2 linked regions of the Bombyx mori genome follow. The protein of the gene in region 2 interacts with the protein of the main gene of each other region in a pairwise test. Links are inferred from orthologs where the notes say so. Each region holds a gene or a part of one and is shown on either strand. Other genes may lie near its edges.

Region 1 (3,450 bases), on a different chromosome or scaffold from region 2:
GGCGTGCCGGTCGGATACCTGCGACGCGGAGACTACGGCCACTATCTAGACAAACCAATAGGGATTGGTTACGTTACGAACAAAGACTCGATCGTGACCAAAGAGTATTTGAAAGAAGGAAACTACGAGATAGAAGTGATGGGACAGAAGTACAAGGCGACGTTTCACTTCAAATCCCCTTTCGACCCTCACGGGCAAAGGCTGCTCGGAAACTACGGAGATCAGGGCATGGATGAGAACACGCACGAACCTCACGCTGGACAAAACGAACGGGCTGGCGGCAGTGAATAATAGCTACTTACTTGCCGTATCATACCAACAACTCTTTGCACAATTTTTTTTTTTAAATATATGTAACGTTCTGTGACTGATGAAGTTTGAAATAAAAAAATATTTTAACATAATTTAATATAACTTTATTACGAACCTTGTAAAAACGAATGGCTTAAATATGATTGATACGTGGAATAGACTTATTGAAAAATAGTATAATTTTGAAAGATATATGCAATGCGTACGTATATTGAAGAAATAAAACTCAATTTCTCAGAAATATGTTTCGGCGATTTATGCTGCCGATATACATAAATATTTTATGAGAGTACGTTGTCTCTTTCCCACAAATTTGAATATCAATTTGAATCCGTTCGGCATTTAAGAGCAACTGGAGGATGACCGTTTTTTATGAATGTTCTGAATGACGGATGTTTTTTAGAAATTATATTTAAATACGAATTACATATTGATATTATATAATTTGCTATTTTCTTTCAATAAAAAAAAAGTTTATGTTTAAGTTGATTATCGATAAAGTTGATTATTAAAAACACGAATAAAACAACATTTTCTGAAAATAAATCGTAGCTAGATTGATTTATCGTCCCCGAAATCTCGTGTATACTAAATTTTATGAAAATCGTTGGAGCCGTTTCCGAGATTCAGATTATATATTTATATACAAGAATTGCTCGTTTAAAGATATAAGATTTCTAATTGAAGAGAAATTTCTAAGAATGAAAAATAAGATTTTGTCTTAAGCTTAGATAATTAATAGAATTTTACCGCTCCGATATGCGTTATAAACGCGAACTTCGTACAATACGGCTTCGTTTATGTTAAATCCTCTTATCATGGCCGTCTCTAATTGCTTACCCGACAGATGACGGGGCAACGCACAGCCGCCGTCGACCTAAGCACGGCATTTTGGTTCTTCCCAATCTGTACTTTCAGGCATTCCAACCACCGTTCACCGTTCTTGTGCGACTTAACCTGCGGACAACTCACTAATCTGTTTCCTATCAGTTGGTCGCGATTTCGATTCGTTGGTAGATTCAGCAAAAACGTTACACTCGCAGATGTTCACAACGTATTTGATACTGAACGCCGTCAGTTCATCTGCCATCTACTACCATGCTAAATCCTGACCATTATGTTTTTGTGTCCCATATGCATCGTATATGCAAAATTTCATGGTGATCACTGAGTAGTTAAGACGTGAAAGCTTAACAAAGTCATTTTCACATTTATAATGTTAGTGTGAAACAAGGTTTAATATGATTTAATCTACAGTCATTTCCCCTTCGTTTCAATTCGATACAAAGTTGTCACTGTCAACTGGTCAATGTCTTTTTACGTCAACGTCAGTTGTCCATAACTTAAAAAAATAACAATATCTAAACAAAATATTTATTATGTAAAATTGTATTAATAAGTTATAATCTGGAAACAATGGCAGTTACTTTGCACACAGACGTCGGAGATATCAAGATTGAATTATATTGCGAGCAATGTCCGAAAGCGTGTGAGAATTTTCTAGCTCTATGTGCAAGTGATTACTATAATGGTTGTTTATTCCACAGGAATATAAAGGTATTTGAATAAATCTTATAAGTGAGTCGTCTATTATCAAAGGTGGCAATCTGTGCATTTGGACAAAAAAATGTTATTGGTATGTCAATACAGATTGATTTGAATATAATCGTCTCCTTCAAAGAATACGGTTCAAAACCTGCATTAAATAAAGGTTAATAGTTAACCTGTTATTTATCTAAGATGTCGTTCCGAAGAGTTTTGTGACTGCCAATGGAATACAAAGTCAATAATTCGTTTTTCTGATTTACCAATAATTATCCAAAAGTCAGATTGTCGGCTTTGATAATAGTCAACTCAAGTGTAGTATTGTGAAGATTGAGTAAAAGGTCGTTATGAAGTAAAGTTAATAAATTTCCATGCAAATTCTATTTGTTCAGGGATTTATAGTACAAACTGGTGATCCCACGGGAACTGGGAAAGGCGGTACGTCTATTTGGGGAAGAAAATTTGAAGATGAAATTAAGGATGAACTCAAGGTTTGCAAAAAAAATTGAAATCTTCACTCATGATTTAAAATGATTTCAAACACATAACCCCTAAGTATTTTTTCAGCATAACGCAAGAGGTGTAGTTAGTATGGCAAATAATGGGCCAAACACGAATGGAAGCCAATTTTTCATTACGTATGGAGAACAACCTCATCTAGATTTAAAATATACCATTTATGGAAGGTTAGTGTAACTTTATGAATGACTTATAAATTCATTCACCAATACATGAGTTATAAATCATTATTTTTAAAATGAAATATACACAATATTTCAAGATATTTTTTAGCTATTATAACAATGTGTTCTGTTCAAGTACTCAGAGTTGATCAATAAATGAGTAAAACAATTAGGTAATCTTTTGCTTTGTTTTAGGGTAATCGATGGTTTTGAAGCATTAGATGATTTAGAGAAGATGCCAGTAAACCCCAAATCTTTTAGACCACTGACAGAAGCCAAGATCACATCTGTCACAATCCATGCAAATCCATTAGCTGGTTGATCAAGACTATAGGCTTGCATATTGAGACTGGAATACTTTTTATTAAGTAAATAAATCAAATGTGCATACTATGTTTTTTTTTATCCTTTTGCCAATGAACGAAGAATTACCTCAATAACTTGTTTGGTGCTAATTAAACAAAAAAGATAACATGGAAATGAACATTTTATTATAAGTTTCAGATTTTTGTGAACATTACAGAGAATATGTATCTCGATCAATAGTGCAATGCTTTAGTGTTCCAAATTATTTCGTGTTTCATAACAACAGTCACATTATTTATTATGTATCACACTAGTTAACTAATATCTGAGTATGTCACATGTATGACTAACTACAGCTAGTTTTCTAAAATCTTTGGATTAACTGCAATATTTACAAATCAAACTACACAATTAGTTAGGTACTGAGTTTCAATACATTAGAAATCGTCCATACATTTTCCTTTTAAGATACACTACTTTATTTATTTAATCCATATCGATGTTTTAAAGGCAAACGTGACTAAGCAACAATAACTGCTTTGTATATAAATGATAGGCAATAATCATATTCAATGCGCAAAAAATATATATTTCTAGGTCTATT
Region 2 (3,760 bases):
CGAGCAGGTAATTCCTTCGTGGGGTTGGGAGCAAATAAAGCAACGAGGGGCTGATCGGCACTGCGTTGAAATATGGCCGAATCGGCAGCACTTGTTGCACTGGATAATGGGAAGGACATAAACTTCAACTGGGAGAGAAGTAAAAAAGCAGAAAATCCGATTTGGAAGTTTTTGACCAGAGAAAGTTAAAACTACAGATTGGGTAGGTATCCAGGTAGGGACATTATTTTCTATTTTCTTCCTATTCAAGCGGCGTGCTTTAATGACTGCACCGCAGCCAGCAGGAACTTCTACCGATTGGACCAGCTCCTCTAAAGTCCATTCTACTGGAACATCACGCACAATTCCCATTCGTGTAACATTATAAGATGGGATGTTCGCTTCAAATTTAGCCGGCTGAAGTGCTGGGTGTTCTAGAAAAGCGTTAGCCGCAGCAGCAGATTTAAATTCCACTGAAACCCTGTTGCGGCCAATGCGTTTCACACCATCCTGTATTACATTTTTTATGCTGTTTCTGAATAGAAAGTGTCCGAATTTGATGGGTTTCAAGGTGGGACCAGCAGACACATCTGTTACCGTCTTATTAACGTGGACTAAAAAAGGGGCAATGTCATCTTCACAGTATCGGGTCTTACGTTCAACAAAATCGGGATGTGTGTACGTGGACTGAATCGACGGCGAAGTTTGTGAAAGATTAGTAATCGTTTTTTTAGGGGGAATGTTTTCCTCAGACTGTGGTGGTCGTTTTCTGGAATTGGGTGGATCTATATCCATCTGAGAAGAAAAGTTTTGTGAGTGGGGCGCACGTGGTCCTTTATAACCTCCCCCGGGATCGTGCGGGTCATCCATGATTCTTACCTTTTAATAATATAACAAACACAATATATTTACACTCACGGCACAACAGATATATACCAACACCAACACGAATCAGTAGCGCAAGTCAACAGCAATTTAAACAAATAATATTAATTAAAACACCGGGAAACTTCGAAGACACTTGTGTTCACACTCGACGTCACCCCTTTTTTTCTTTACCAGTCTTAGGACTGGCTACATTATTTTCAGTTTTTAGTATTTTGTGTCTTAATTTAAAATTACAAAATATACCAAAAGAGTGTAGATTTCAAAAGTTTAATACAAACACAAGAAATAAACTCAATTTTTGGGATTCAACTAAAAATAGAAAAATGTGTACTTTAAAAATCAAACACAAAAAACTTTTAAGTATTTATAAACACTTGTCCAAAAATTCTAGTTCAAGGTCAAAGCGCATGAAATTAAATTCAACGATGCAAATAGGCTATACTGCATTCAAGTTAGGGTCGAAAGTTGAAACTTCTTTCCTAAATTGTATCCTGCTGATACGCTAAGAATAATCTACAGACATATGGGCTTAATTATAAGGTTTACAATTGTATGGATAATGCCTGTTTCTGTTTCATTCATCACATGATATCCCTATCGTGCGCTCACTCACTCTGGCCGATTCGATACGAACCAAACGAATATTGCTGATATTCACGAATCGGTACGATATGCTGATGCGCATCACATCGAGCAATATCGTGTATCGGCTGATATCGATATATAGATTTCGTGCGGGGCGATATCGGATTCAACGATATTGCTGCGATATATAGATATTGAATCTATATATGTTTTATATCACCCACTCCTAAGTGTGAGTATAAGTTCAGCATTATTGGGAGAACTCATATACTATTCCCAATTTCTTATAAAGTGGAAGTCACATGAAAATACTGCACACCTTTTGATAGAAGACGTCAGCAATAACCTATAGGTTTACATTAGCACTATAGATAATTTTATCTTGTTTACAAATAATTGAAATCATGAATAGGATAAGGTCAAAATCGACAAACCTGTTTCATCAACAGCGGCTGGTGCTGTTCCAGCTTTTCTGGCCTCCTCTAACTCTTTAGCTTTTCTCCAGTCTTCCCTAGATTTCTTCTTGGGCTCATCGTCTTCTTCGGTGTCATCTTTATTGCGTAAAATTTGTGATATAGGTACACGAGACGTCGTCGCCATTGTCTGTACAATATTTTCTTAGTACGTTGTGATTAATTTTATTCACGATTACTTTGGTTGTAGTTTTTGTGATAAAAAAGTCACAAACGAAAACATCAATTTTTGGGTTCACAACTCACTATGTCTTTTCGATCTTTTTTATTTTTGAACTATTTCAACATTAAAAACTGAAGACATAAGTTGTTAGAAGTGTCGATTTTTTTTAATACGCATATCGTGTATGAACTATAATTTTATTTATTACTTTAGCCCACTGCTTTAGCCAGAGAATAATAACTCAAACTCAAAGATTGTGAAGTTTGGATGCACAGAACACTATTTGTTTGGATGTGTCAAATGTGAATGTGTTCTGTACATAGACCTACTTCATTGGTTCTGTAGTTCGATTTTTCCACCTGGAAAGACGCAGGTGTCACCCATTCAGCCAAAACAGATACAGCCAAAAAGATACGGACACGCTCTTTATACACACTACTGGCTGTTTTAAAGAAAGAGTGGCAACAATAGTCCAAAGAAGAATGTTTTAAGTTAATTAGTGGGCCGTTCTTATAGCCTACTTCTAGGATGAACTAATTTATACTTATTTTTTTCCAGTCAACATGCTGAAGCCCGTGGCCGATCTAGGGGTGGTCGTGGTGTCGGTAGAAGTGTCTACACACGTGGTGGAATTTACCCCCAAACCAGTCCTTAGGCCGCTGAACCGTAATTATAAGAGGTCTTACAACTAAATCTTAAAATAAGATACCTTTTTATTTACTTTATTTATTTATTGCATTTGTGGAAGAACTCACAGCCAGCCTGGTGTTAAGTGGTTACCACAGCCCATAGACATCTACAACTTAAATGCCGCCATCCGCCTTGAAATATGATATAAGTTCTAAGGTCTCAGTATAGTTACAACCGCTGCCCCACCCTTCAAACCGAAACGCATTACTGCTTCACGGCAGAAATAGGCAGGGTGGTGGTACCTACCCGTGCGGACGGAAAAGTTCGCACGACCAGTCATTACACAAATTATAATTTTTCGGGTTTGATTTTTATTACACGGTGTTATTTTCTCACCGTGGAAGTCAATCGTAAACATTTGTTAAGTACGTACTTCATTAGAAAAATTGGTACCCGCCTGCGGGATTCCAACTTCCAGTAATGAGGACTGTGGTGGGTTGGCACACGCTCGGCATCAAACTAACTTAATCTGATCCGCTATCGCTCCCGTTTAGCCCGGACTCTACCTCGTCCCCTCAGGATACCGCTGGAGCCATAGATATCGTAACGTCACACATCACCTCGACATTACATAGGCCAACCAAGCAAGTTGTAGTGGAGGATTTTCTTCACCGCTTCAAATTGCCCGACGATGTTAGGGAACTCCATAGAGCCAAGAACGCCTCGATCCGCGCTTACGATAGGTATCCTACCGAGGAAAATAGTATTAGAATGCGTGCCCTACAACGCGACGTAAAGTCTCGCATCGCCGAAGTCCGAGATGCCAGATGGTCTGATTTCTCAGAAGGACTCACGACCTTCCAACGGTCTTTCTACCACTTAGCTCGTAGTCTCAAATCGGATACGTTAGTAACTATGCCCCCCCTCGTAGGCCCCTCAGGCCGACCCGCGGCGTTAGATGACGACGAAAAAGCAGAGCTGCTGGCCGATACATTGCAAACCCAGTGGACGCCCAGCATTCAATCAGCGGACCCTGTCCATG

What was found. The genes of interacting proteins can lie anywhere in the genome.
Region 1: the proteins of pre-mRNA-splicing factor Slu7 (region 2) and peptidyl-prolyl cis-trans isomerase-like 3 interact in binary tests that used the Homo sapiens proteins (3 or more experiments, as listed by UniProt). The link is inferred for Bombyx mori from reciprocal best matches to the Homo sapiens genes SLU7 and PPIL3.

The regions. Positions count from the first base shown.
Region 1 is NC_085121.1:6,437,786-6,441,235, reverse strand, and holds peptidyl-prolyl cis-trans isomerase-like 3, read left to right. Parts: upstream 1-1,608; 5' UTR 1,609-1,728; coding exon 1,729-1,869; intron 1,870-2,249; coding exon 2,250-2,348; intron 2,349-2,424; coding exon 2,425-2,543; intron 2,544-2,735; coding exon 2,736-2,862; 3' UTR 2,863-2,933; downstream 2,934-3,450. Other genes in the region: sarcosine dehydrogenase, mitochondrial, read left to right, coding at 1-291. UniProt on the Homo sapiens protein: PPIases accelerate the folding of proteins. It catalyzes the cis-trans isomerization of proline imidic peptide bonds in oligopeptides. May be involved in pre-mRNA splicing.
Region 2 is NC_085129.1:14,361,020-14,364,779, reverse strand, and holds the start of pre-mRNA-splicing factor Slu7, read right to left. Parts: upstream 2,425-3,760; 5' UTR 2,053-2,424; coding exon 1,887-2,052; intron 1,546-1,886; exon of another isoform or gene 859-1,545; intron 1-858. UniProt on the Homo sapiens protein: Required for pre-mRNA splicing as component of the spliceosome. Participates in the second catalytic step of pre-mRNA splicing, when the free hydroxyl group of exon I attacks the 3'-splice site to generate spliced mRNA and the excised lariat intron.